Linked DNA regions of Rattus norvegicus. The protein of the gene in region 2 purifies or fractionates together with the protein of the main gene of each other region. This does not show direct contact. Links are inferred from orthologs where the notes say so. Each region holds a gene or a part of one and is shown on either strand. Other genes may lie near its edges.

What was found. The genes of interacting proteins can lie anywhere in the genome.
Region 1: the proteins of Mak (region 2) and Katnip purify together in Homo sapiens (affinity purification with mass spectrometry; 3 studies listed by BioGRID and IntAct, with this or other methods). This does not show direct contact. The link is inferred for Rattus norvegicus from reciprocal best matches to the Homo sapiens genes MAK and KATNIP.

What each region holds. Positions count from the first base shown.
Region 1 is NC_086019.1:189,863,999-189,869,197, reverse strand, and holds the end of Katnip (katanin-interacting protein), read right to left. Parts: intron 4,334-5,199; coding exon 4,232-4,333; intron 3,863-4,231; coding exon 3,702-3,862; intron 3,619-3,701; coding exon 3,530-3,618; intron 3,114-3,529; coding exon 3,055-3,113; 3' UTR 1,796-3,054; downstream 1-1,795. UniProt on the Homo sapiens protein: May influence the stability of microtubules (MT), possibly through interaction with the MT-severing katanin complex.
Region 2 is NC_086035.1:23,908,475-23,914,320, reverse strand, and holds part of Mak (serine/threonine-protein kinase MAK), read right to left. Parts: intron 5,080-5,846; coding exon 5,000-5,079; intron 3,273-4,999; coding exon 3,140-3,272; intron 1,005-3,139; coding exon 833-1,004; intron 520-832; coding exon 352-519; intron 1-351. UniProt on the Homo sapiens protein: Essential for the regulation of ciliary length and required for the long-term survival of photoreceptors. Phosphorylates FZR1 in a cell cycle-dependent manner. Plays a role in the transcriptional coactivation of AR.

The DNA.
Region 1 (5,199 bases), on a different chromosome or scaffold from region 2:
CCACCCCAGAGCCTGTGGAACTAGCAGTATAAGAAGGCAGGCCGAGCAAGCCGTGAGGAAGCAACCAGTAAGCAGCACCCCTCTGTGGCCTGTCCATTAGTTCCTGTCTCCAGGTTCCTGCCCAGTTTGAGTTCTTGCCTTGGCTTCTCTCAATGGATGGCGACTCTGGGTATGTAAGCTAGATAAACCCTTTCCTTCACAACCTGCTTCTGGTCATGGTGCTCCAGCACAGCAACAGAGACTAACAACCCACAACTGCTGCTCAGCTCTACCCAGGCCACTGTGTGTCCGACCCAACAGTGGTACAGTCACTGCCATGAGGAGAAGCCAGTCTTCTGCCCTGGGGATCCCACTGTGGACAGACAGGAAAGTACTGTAGGGCTTTGCCTGTCCCCTGGCCAGTCCGTCTTGGACTACTCGCCACTGAGCTCCCATACTGTCACCTGTGATTTCCTGGGAGACTGTGGCCTGCTGATGGAGTGGGTCTGACTGAGCTAGGGAAGGGGGCTAGGAGGAGGCAGGGGGCTGTTATACAGAAATAAGGTCTGAGACAGGGTGAGGACAAGCTGGGGACAGGGCTAGCTGGGGTGTGCCCCCCCTTCCCTTGCTTGGTAGAGAGCAAGTTGGGTGGAGTCTCAGAATTGGTAGAAAAGAGAGCCTACTACAAAAGACAGGGGTAAGCATGGAGTGTAGGGTGGGGCATGGCTTTGTCCCATCAACGGCTGTGAGAAGCTTTTGGAGCAATCAACTGTGGCTGAACACGGAAGAGGGGCAGGCCAGAGGGTGGCTTATTGCCCTGGCAGTCTCCATTAATGTCACACAGTTCCAAGATCCCTGCATCATGCTCTTAAGAGTCTCCCTAGAAGACTTAGCTGAATGTCTCTTGGAGGGATGCCTGTGAAGTCCAAGGTCTGGATGCTGGGGCAACTCCAGAAGCTGCTGTGCAGTCTGGGTAGGGAAGCCTGGGTCGGAGCCCAGACTCCATTGGGGTAACACCACCGGGGGAGCTCAGGAGAGGGGGACTTGGGTTGGGCATGGAGGATGGTGCACCTGTGCTACAACTCAGGTCAGCCAGCCGTAGAAGCACTGCACAACATGCAGTGTGCTGGGAGGAGGGCAGCCACAGCAAATGAGGCCTGTGTCCATCACCCACAGGCCCGTTTACCTGGAGGAGGGTATATGCTGGCTACTATTGACACTGTTGCTCTTATAATGAAACAAGCAGCCAAGAGCTGCCCTTCTGCTGTGAGCCGACCAGTTTCCAGGGAGGCCTGCAGACCGCATGTGCATGGTGTTAGGAACGTGCAACGTCTGTGATCTGGGACACAGCCTTGGCACTAGTGGGCATGCAGCCTTGTACAAACTCTCTGGCCTGTGGCAGGTCCTCAAGGCTGGGGCCTCCCGGCAAACACTGTTGCCACAGCCTTGCTCCTTCCCTTCGCATGTGCTCCTTGCCTTGACCTCCTGGCTGTTAAGGACATGAAATCCATCAGAACAAAGGGGCCATGGGGGCATCTAGAGAGTACCACCCTAGGACATTTCTACTGCCAGCCTCACTCACACCCAGTCACTTCATATGTGACATGGATTAAATGGTTTTCCGGTGTCTGTTTTCATGGTGGCAGGCGGATTCCTTGGAGAAAGAGAGTCCAATGCCTCGTCCCCACCTGCGGGCAGTGCAGGCTCAGCTCAGAGGGGCCTGAATGTTCAGCAAGCCTCAGGCCCCCCAGCCCTGGCTTAGGGCTGGAGACAACAAGGACCTCCTCTGGCTGACAACATCCAGTGCACCACACTCTATTCTTAATAACATCTTTTATTGATTTTGTAAGAAAAAATAAACATTTGTTTGACAGTTAATGCTTGTGCCAGCGCCTTCCCTCTGAGAGTGCATGGAATACACACTTATAAACACCCACCAAGTATCTGGAGGGAGCACGCCAAGGTCAGTCTTAGGTGTTCCAGAAAAATCTACCTGAGCCCACCCCAAGGAGTAGAAGCTGGATTCCTGTTAAAGGAGTGGCCCTGATTCGCCTAGAGTTGGTTTGATGGCTCTCCTGGGAGTAAGTGGAGGAGCCAGGGGGTGGGGGTGGGGAGGCCCTGGAGGCTACAGAGATGATGGATTCTCATCAGAGAAGCAATCCTATCTGCTTGTCAGCTGGATCTGAATTAAAACATCTGTACAGCTGCTGGGTGTTGCTGCTTAAAAGGGTTTGTGATTCTTGGTAGTATCAGAATGTACTGAGTTCGGCACCATGGCACCGCCCCACTGGGCCCCGAGCCAGGAAAATAACAGATTAATATTTGGAAGCAGAAATTACCCACTACTGGGAGACTGATTAGGTCCCTGATCTGAGCTTGTTCCATAGATGTACACACAGGTATGGGGCTCTGGGCTGCAGGGAGAAGAAGCAGGGCTGAGCCTAGGCCCTCCCAACTCTGACTTGCAGGTAGAGGGTGTGTGTGTGCACGCGCGCGTGTGTTGTGATAGGAGGAGATGTAGGGGCTAAGGGCAGGTTTCAGCACTCGCTACAGCTCACTTCCTCTCCTCAGCAGGACACATGTCCTTGACCCATCCTGAATCAGGCTTGAACAGAGGACTAGCCCCATCAGGTCTCCAGAGGCACTGGATAGAGGAGCTGCAGCACAGTGGCCTCTTAGCAGCTGTTGCCCTTAGTGAGGAGGGCTGTGTAGTGGAGGAGGGGCACAGGCTCCATGGTCTTGGTACTGAGTTCTGGGCCTGGGTCAGGGGCTGCCTAGGACTCGGGTGCCAGAGGCCCTGCTCTTATGAACCTCACAGGAGAGGCACAGAGAGGAACCAAGTGTTCCTGGCTCCCAGCAGCCAGCCCTGTGTCGCAGGGAGCAGCTATCCTGTTCTTGACCCTTTCGCCTGACTCCTATGGCTCCTGGGGCTGTGATTCAAGTCCCTTGTCCCTCCATGCTCTTCCAGCCCGAGGGGTCCCAGCTGGCCAGCCCTGAAGTCTGAGGGACACCGGTGCTGTTTGGGGCTGGTGATGGAGCCTAGCCAGCCCGAAGAGGCTCTCCCTCCTGCTCCAGTCAGCACCGCCAACGCCTTGAGCTCTCCTTCTCACGTATGCAGGTTTTGGGACGTAAGGCTGTGGAAACAGGGCACAGGAGGTGTGAGTTACACTGCCCTTGAGAACAACTATATACCTGGCTGGCCATTCAGATAGGTGGAGACCTGGCTAGGCCTAAGTTCTGGGCACCCTGCCTAACCTATCCCATGCATGGAATGGACTCTATCATGCCATCCTCAGGGCCTTTGCCTATATTATCAGATGTCTTTTAGGACTCAGCTCAAATGCCACCTGCCCCATGGAGCCTTCCACTTGGTTTTCTTTCCTGTTTCCCCACAGTGTACCTTCTCTCTTGACCACAGGGAAGCTACTCTGGGACAAGAGTGAAGGGGAAGACGTTTTAGGTGGGCAGGGCAAGGCCAGTGTACTTGACTTCCTCTCCATATAGACCAAGCCTCTGACAGGCATGCCCAGGGCAGAGGCATGCCACCCACCTGGGTCAGCAGTGGCTGGCTTCCTGCGAGAGGTGGTGATGACCTGGTTTTCATTCATCATTTGTATGTCCTGGTCTTCCTCAGGCTTACTGCAGAAGGGGAGACAGAAGGCGCATCAGGCCCCAGACCACGTCCCGCCATCCATCTTCATTAGGGCTGGTGAGGGGCATACCTGATGATGGTGTGTTTCTCCTGGTGACAGAGGTCAGTGTCCTCGGCAAAAAGGATGGTGTGGTGGGGCACGGTAGGCTCACATGTGGGTAGGATGCCCCCAACCACGTGGCTCACCATGGCAAGAATGCCATTGTACACCAGCAAGTCATCCACCAGCAGCTAAGAGACAGAGTAGGAGTGAGGCCCAGGCACCCTCCCACATTTACCCCAACCCTAGCAATGCAACCCAAGCCCAAGGATCTCCCCCACACTGGCAGGGAGGGCATGTGTTGTCAGCTTGGGCTGCAGATTTGGAAGTTGAGGCTGGGGGATGTTCTCAGCACTGGGTGACCAAATGTAGAGATGAGGCAGACTCAGTCTCTATCCCCCACGGCTTTGGATCATTTCCAGGCCATTTCCCTGCTCTCAGGACCAGGTACTTCCAAGGTTATAACTGGGGATCGAGACTAAACTGCACCAAATGATAACTGCCCCAGCCTAATTTCCAGCAAGCACAAGGATCTCCCACACCAGCTAGTGGAGACTCACGCCAAACTCCTTCACCCCTCGCTGAGGTGTTTTCGTGTAATTCCACAGTTTGATCATAGACACAGTGGTGGGCAGATCGAAAATGACATACACTCGGTTCACCTGTCAGAGAGCAAAGCTAATTGAAGCAGCTGTGTTTGGAAGCAGAGCTTCGGGCAGGGCCCAGACACCAGGGCAGGGAGCTGGGCCCCACTCTTCACGTGGGAGCCTGGCGGTCTGTTGCTTCTCTTCTCCTCAGAGCCCATTTTGAGTCAAGTCACGTGTAGTTGCGTTTGGAATAAACTGCTGAGCTGGCTCTGGAAGGGCCTTCGGCCTCCTGCTGCTGTGGCTCTCATTTAAATACTGGCAGAGAATTGAGGGCAGCCCTGCCTTCTGTTCATCGGGTCAAGCCCAGGGACAGTTTCCACCTGCAGAGGCCAGGAGCTTCTCGCCACCAAACAATGTGCATGGTGCTGACCCATTTGTCCTTTCCCAGGGTTTCTTCCAACCCATGCCTGCTGGGGAATTATTCAGTGACTAGCACCCAGCCCCAGATTAGCAGCAGGCTCCACATCACAAAGGGGCCACTTGGAAGGCCAAATAAAGAACTAAGTGTGAATGAGCCCGGCCTGCAGCATGCAGTGGCCTGCAAACAGCGATGGCTGTGTGGAATCCTTCTGCTCAGACCCTTAGATTCCCACTAGGAGTATGGCAGCAGCCAGAGGAGAGCAGTGAACTCTGTTTTAGGCTGGAGTCTAAGGGACACAGGGCTGGTGTAACCCTTTGTAACAGAGGATGGGGCTGAGGAGTTGGCCCTGTGGTCTTTGGGAGTTGTTCTCTCTTTTAAGTGGAAAATGTCCATTTTATTATACACAGTTACATGAGCAGGAAAGAATCCCACCATGTTCTGAAAATAGGTTCTGGCTCTGAGGTGGAGGTGCTGATGGCCTACACCCTCTCCTGGACCTCCCTCCCTCCTCTCTGGGACG
Region 2 (5,846 bases):
CTGTTTGCCCAGCTCCCGCTTGTGTACAGAGGGTGTCCTGGGTTTTAGTACTTACTGATCTTAGAAAACATTGATTGAGAATCGATGTCTTTGTAAAATTGCAAGACTTTAAAAATTAGAGGTTGGAGAAATGGTTCAGTGGTTAAGGGTACTGTCTGTTCTTGTAGAAGACCCGGGTTTGGTTCCCGGGCCCTGCAGTGTGGCTCAACAAGACCTACAGTTCCAGTCTGGGGGATCCAATGGCATCTAATGGCCTCTTGGGTTCCTGTACACACGTGGTGCACATCCATACTTAGACACACACATCTGCACATGAAATAAAAAAGCTGTCCCCAGGGAGTGCTGCCTTACCTGGCTTGCAGTTGGCCGTTTCTTTGGATCCCAGTTAAGCATTTCTGTCATAAGCTGAATAGCCTCACTACTGGCATTGGGAATGAGAGTTTTCAGGTTTATAGGAATGCACTGGGGAAAGCGGAAGTTCATGGAGGATGCCAGCTGGTACCCCTCCGGCCAGTCACTCTGTTAAAGGAGATACACAGAGAAAGTCCACTTGAATCTGGTGGGACGCTGACTTCTTGCGATCTTTATTGTTCCCCAATAAAAGCGTTATGTTTGTAAGAAAACCATTAAAGTATAAAGGGATTTGAAACTGAAAATATCATACATCTCTGCTAAAGTAAGAAATAAAAACCAGAAAAAGCAAAATAAAAATAAATAATAATAATAAATTAATGATTTATAATTATAATTAATACTAATAATAAATAAATAAATAATAATAAAAGTGAGGGACACTAAAGAGGCCAGGCCACTAGGGGACCAGGGTACTTACTTTCTTGGGAGTCCCTAACACTTGGCAAATTTTAAAGATCTCATCAACTTCACTGGTCCCTGGGAAAAGCGGTCTAAACGTATATAGCTCGGCCATTATACTTCCCACGGCCCACACGTCAATGGGAGAGCTGTACACTGAAGACCTTAGCAAAACTTCAGGAGCACGGTACCTGTGAAAACAGAGAACAGTACAGAAAACGCTCTTTCGGGTGTGACATCACAGGGCAATGGACAGCAGGAGCCAACTGTTGGCTCCCAGCTTCCAAGCAAGACCTAGGACAAAGCACCTTCTGTGTACCAGGGACTCTGGGTGAGACATCTATTTTCTGACCACAGTTAGTGGGGCTGGCTAGAAATGTGAGAAAATGTCCATGTGGCTTGAGGTAGGTCTTCACAGGGATAATCGGGAAGGTAAGTAGCCTCTAAATATCCAGAAAGAACCGTGGATAAAACCATCAGGTGTGAATGTATCCACTTGAGGTTAGGAGAGGAAAGATGGATGGATTGCCCTTGAGTAGGGAGTCTCTGCCCACCCCCCCTTTTACAAATCACATTGAAAATCTTCATGCTAGTATTACACTTCCTCATATAGATGATACTATTTTTAATTTATAAGAGGCAAGTAGCAAGCCCCTGCATCGCCCCCTGCCCCCATTCCTCGCTGATCTACGAAACAGTTGTCTTCCTGAGTCTGGAGTATGCCACTTAACATGATGAACTTCAGCTCAATCCATCCTCCGAAACATGACACAATTACATTCTCTCTCTGTGTGTGTGTGTGTGTGCGTGCATTTCTGAGACAGGGTTTCTCTGTGTAGCCCTGGCTGCCCTGGAACTCACTCTGTAGACCAGGCTGGCCTCATGTACATATAGTTTTTTCCACATTCACTAACTTTTCAAATGTCTACACTGCCTGGGACAGGGATGTGTTCTGGTCTGCACTATGCCAGCAATCAAGGCCACTTGAGCTAGACAGCAGTGCCATGACATATTTTGTTTGTTCTTGAAGACTGTCATTGGGATATTTCCTTCAGAAGACTTGTGTTCCTAATTTCAAGGCTACTGTTACAAAGCAGCATACCTTGAGGTGACACACGCCCTTGATCCCAGCACTCAGGAGGCAGAGGCAGGCGGATCTCTGAGTTTGTGGCCAGCCTGGTCTACATAGTGAGTTCCAGGACAGGATAGTCAGGGCTACACAGAGAAACTCTGTATCTATATCTATATCTGTATCTATATCTATATTTTTTCTTTCCCTCCTTACTGACCCCAACTTCCCCTCTCTTGTCCATATATTATTTTGTTTATAATAAGGTATCACCACAACATGTATGTACACACTTGATTTTACAAATACACATACAGGAAAATGCACTTAAGCCCATAACTTGCTAAATTTTCCACAAATAGGACATGTTCACAGGTCTAACAACCAGATCAAATGCATGCTACAGGAGCCCTAAAGGCTCATTCCACACTATTGTGGCGTAAACCCACAGCTCTTTCCCTAGTCTTGCGCTTTATGAAATGACTGTAATCGGTAGAAGGTCTTTTCCTGTGTGGCCTCCTACTCTCTGTGTTACCTCTGAAATGTTCTGTGTGCTGTTTGTCATGGTAGACTGTCCCTTCCTCCTGCTGAATAGCCTTCCTTTGGGTGGAATGCCTTAAGGGTAATTGGGGTTGTGACATTGATTTTGGTAATTTATACCATTTAACCGATTTGTGTTTTGGCTTTCACCAGACAGAGACTTCTGCTTTGTTCCTGGCCTTGTGTTCCTAATGCCTATGGTAATGTTTAGCACATAGTAGTTATTCAGTGTTATTGGAAGTGTCTTAGTCAGGGCTTTACTGCTGTGAACAGACACCATGATCAAGGCAGTTCTTAAAGGACATTTCATTGGGGCTGGCTTACAGGTTCAGAGGTTCAGTCCACTATCATCAAGGTGGGAGCGTGGCAGCATCCAGGCAGGGATGGTGCAGCAGGAGCTGAGAGTTCTACATCTTCATCTGAAGGCTGCTAGAGGGAGACTGACTTCCAGTCTTAAAGCCCACACCCACAGTGACACACCCATTCCAACACCTCCAAATAGTGCCACACCCTGGGCCAAGCATATTCAAACCTTACAAAGGCTGAGTGAACTATTTTTTTCCCTTCTTTTGTTTCATTAGTGGAAGAGCCACAAGCCAATTCTTTCCTCTCTGCAAAGAACATAAAATGTCTACATTTTGTTTTAAATACCCAATATGGACCCTCTGGAAAGCTAATTAACAGTTCAACATAGGAAAACTTTACTATAAATGTTACCATCTGGTAGACACATAGTCAGTATATGGTGGCTGTGATCTTAATTCTCTCGCAAGTCCAAAATCAGCAATCTTCACCAGCTCTGGACCCATGCAAAGCAAATTCTCAGGTTTCATGTCCCTGTGAAAAAAGCCTGTGCAAGCAAGAGAGGAAAACACTAAATAGTCCTGTTTATTATCATCATGTGACTCATTGCTTTATATAAATATATACATATAAATATAACCAAGACCTCCTATCAGCAGCACAGGGTTGGGGAGGAAACATTTTCCTAGGAAGAAGTAAAGGGGTGTGAGAATTTGCTTGCAGAAGAATTTAGGAGAAGGTTCACATGACATGTAAGGTCACTAAAAATAACTTCCCATTTTTAATTTTTGACTGCCATGGGTGCATACGAGGGATGGATACTGACACTGTGACTAACCCCTAGTATTTCTACATGCTTATGGAATTTGGTGTGTTGTTATCACTACTGTGTAACAGATAGAAAGAGATGCGGAGAGAAGCTTGGTTTCCGTCAATGTGGTTGGTCTCCTTACTGCTGTTATGCCACACCTTAACACGAGAGTCCCTGAGGTTAGTCTCAGATTTGAAAAGTTCATTGGACTTCCAAAAGAGCTCCACACATTTGAACTAATCTCCTGGCTTATTTAACAGTTCACTTTCTCCTGGTGGCTAAGTCTTTGAAAAACCCAATGATGAAAATGCTCATTATTACTGACTCTCTATTAAATAAATGGTCAGTGACAGAGGCTAATGATTCTTCCTGAAGTGGACTCAGGTGCTGGGTTCTGAAGACCGCACCAGGGAGAACTATGGTTAGTTGGTACCAACGGTCTTCTGTGGAGGTTTGAGACCCAGCCCTCTTGGTGTCGACATTTCTAACTATTGCCTACCTAGGTTCCAAGTGCACACAACGCTATGACACAAACTTACAAACCTTTCCCGCTAAATACTGGAATAGCCAGCAATTCTAACCAGACATTCAATAACACCAAATGTTTTAGATGTCCGAGATAATGATTATCTTCACTCGGTGATATGCAAAATCACATAAAGTAAAGGAGTAAGAGAGTCATAGGAAATACACAGCAGCTTCCATTCCACTCAGACAATAGGTGTGACTAAATGCAGACGCTAAGGACACTATAAAAACCACACATAGGCACCATGCAGTATTTAAATCCCCGTGAGCAGCCATGCTTGGTCAAAGAAGACTTCTAATCCTTTCTGAAATAAGCTTGGAGGAAAATCTGTCATTGAGAGAACAGAAAGGGCAAACCTGGGCCAGAGAGCATCCCCTGCACAGACCAAAAAAACGAATGAACAAACAAACCCCCATAGCACCTTCTGTCCAAACAGAACAGCGGAATGCCGCAGAAACACAAAACCAGCCATAACCTGAAATCACACTGCTGCCCTCTTTACGCAGTGAGAAACTGCCAGCAACACTCGGGGTTCCTCCAAGATGGGCTGCCCTGCAGCCTGGCACCATTACCCCATGCCTGCTGCTCTCTGTGCAGTGTATCAAATAAAGCTGGTTATTTTCAACTTATCCTAGAAAGAGAATTCATTTCCTAACCTGCAAAAACCCTCACAAGATACTTTTGGTTTTTGTTTTTTTCTTTTCATTAATGTTTCTCTAGTTGAGTTAGTGGAGAGGTGTGAGGCAGGAGACTAGTGAGCAAACTTGTAAAATGTCTGTTATAGATAATAGATATCGATGTACAATTATAAAAAATTACGATGTGTAGAGGACAAAGTCAGACACAGCTCAGCAGAAGACACATTATTGCTATGTGTGGTCCTGATGTTACCCTGTGTGCACAGACAGGAAAATAAGACTACGAAGAAACTCACCATGTTTGTGGATAAATGCCAGCCCCTGTAGTATTTGATACATAATATTTCTGATGACTGACTCAGGGAACAGTTTGTTTCTGGAAGAAATGAATAGTTTATTAACCAACCAGCGACCAGGAAGGCCAATGATCTCCCTGTTGTTCTGTGGCCTCCTCTACTGGCCAAAAGTATAATGAACAGAGCTGCGGTGCTAAATGCTGTAGGTTTAAAATGGGAAAACAGCGATTTTCCTTTTTGTTTTGTTATTTCAGAAAACCTCACATCCAACAGTCAATGCCTTATACAAAAAATTCAGGAATGAAAATCTAAACTTTCCAATAAGACGCTGGGAAAACCACCAGTGTCATTAAACAACTACTCAGGCTTGGAGAATAAGATCTGCATGTTTGAGGTGCCTGCTGTTTTAAGACAGGGTCTTGCTGTATGCGCAGGCTGGCCATGAACTTACCATCCTCTTGCCTCACTCTCCCAGTGTTGGGATTACAAGCTCGTTCTACTGTTCCCCCATGCTTCAGGTTTATACTGCTCATCGATACTATCCAATAAAAATACAGTTAAGAGCTACACATGAGAACCAGGTTTCATTTTCCAGCAGTTACATTTAACAAAAAGCAAACAAAACCGGAAACATTAAACTTACTTAAAATTTTTATTTTTAAGTTTACTTTGACTGATGTGTAAACCAATTGAAAGTTCATATTTATATAAATATAAAATATAAAAGTGCATATAATGCAATGTGTGCAAATCTCACACGTGCATGCACTATATAATGATTAAATCAGGGTAAAGATTTGTGTTTCAAACACTTATCATTTCTTTATGGTCAAAACTTCAAAATCCT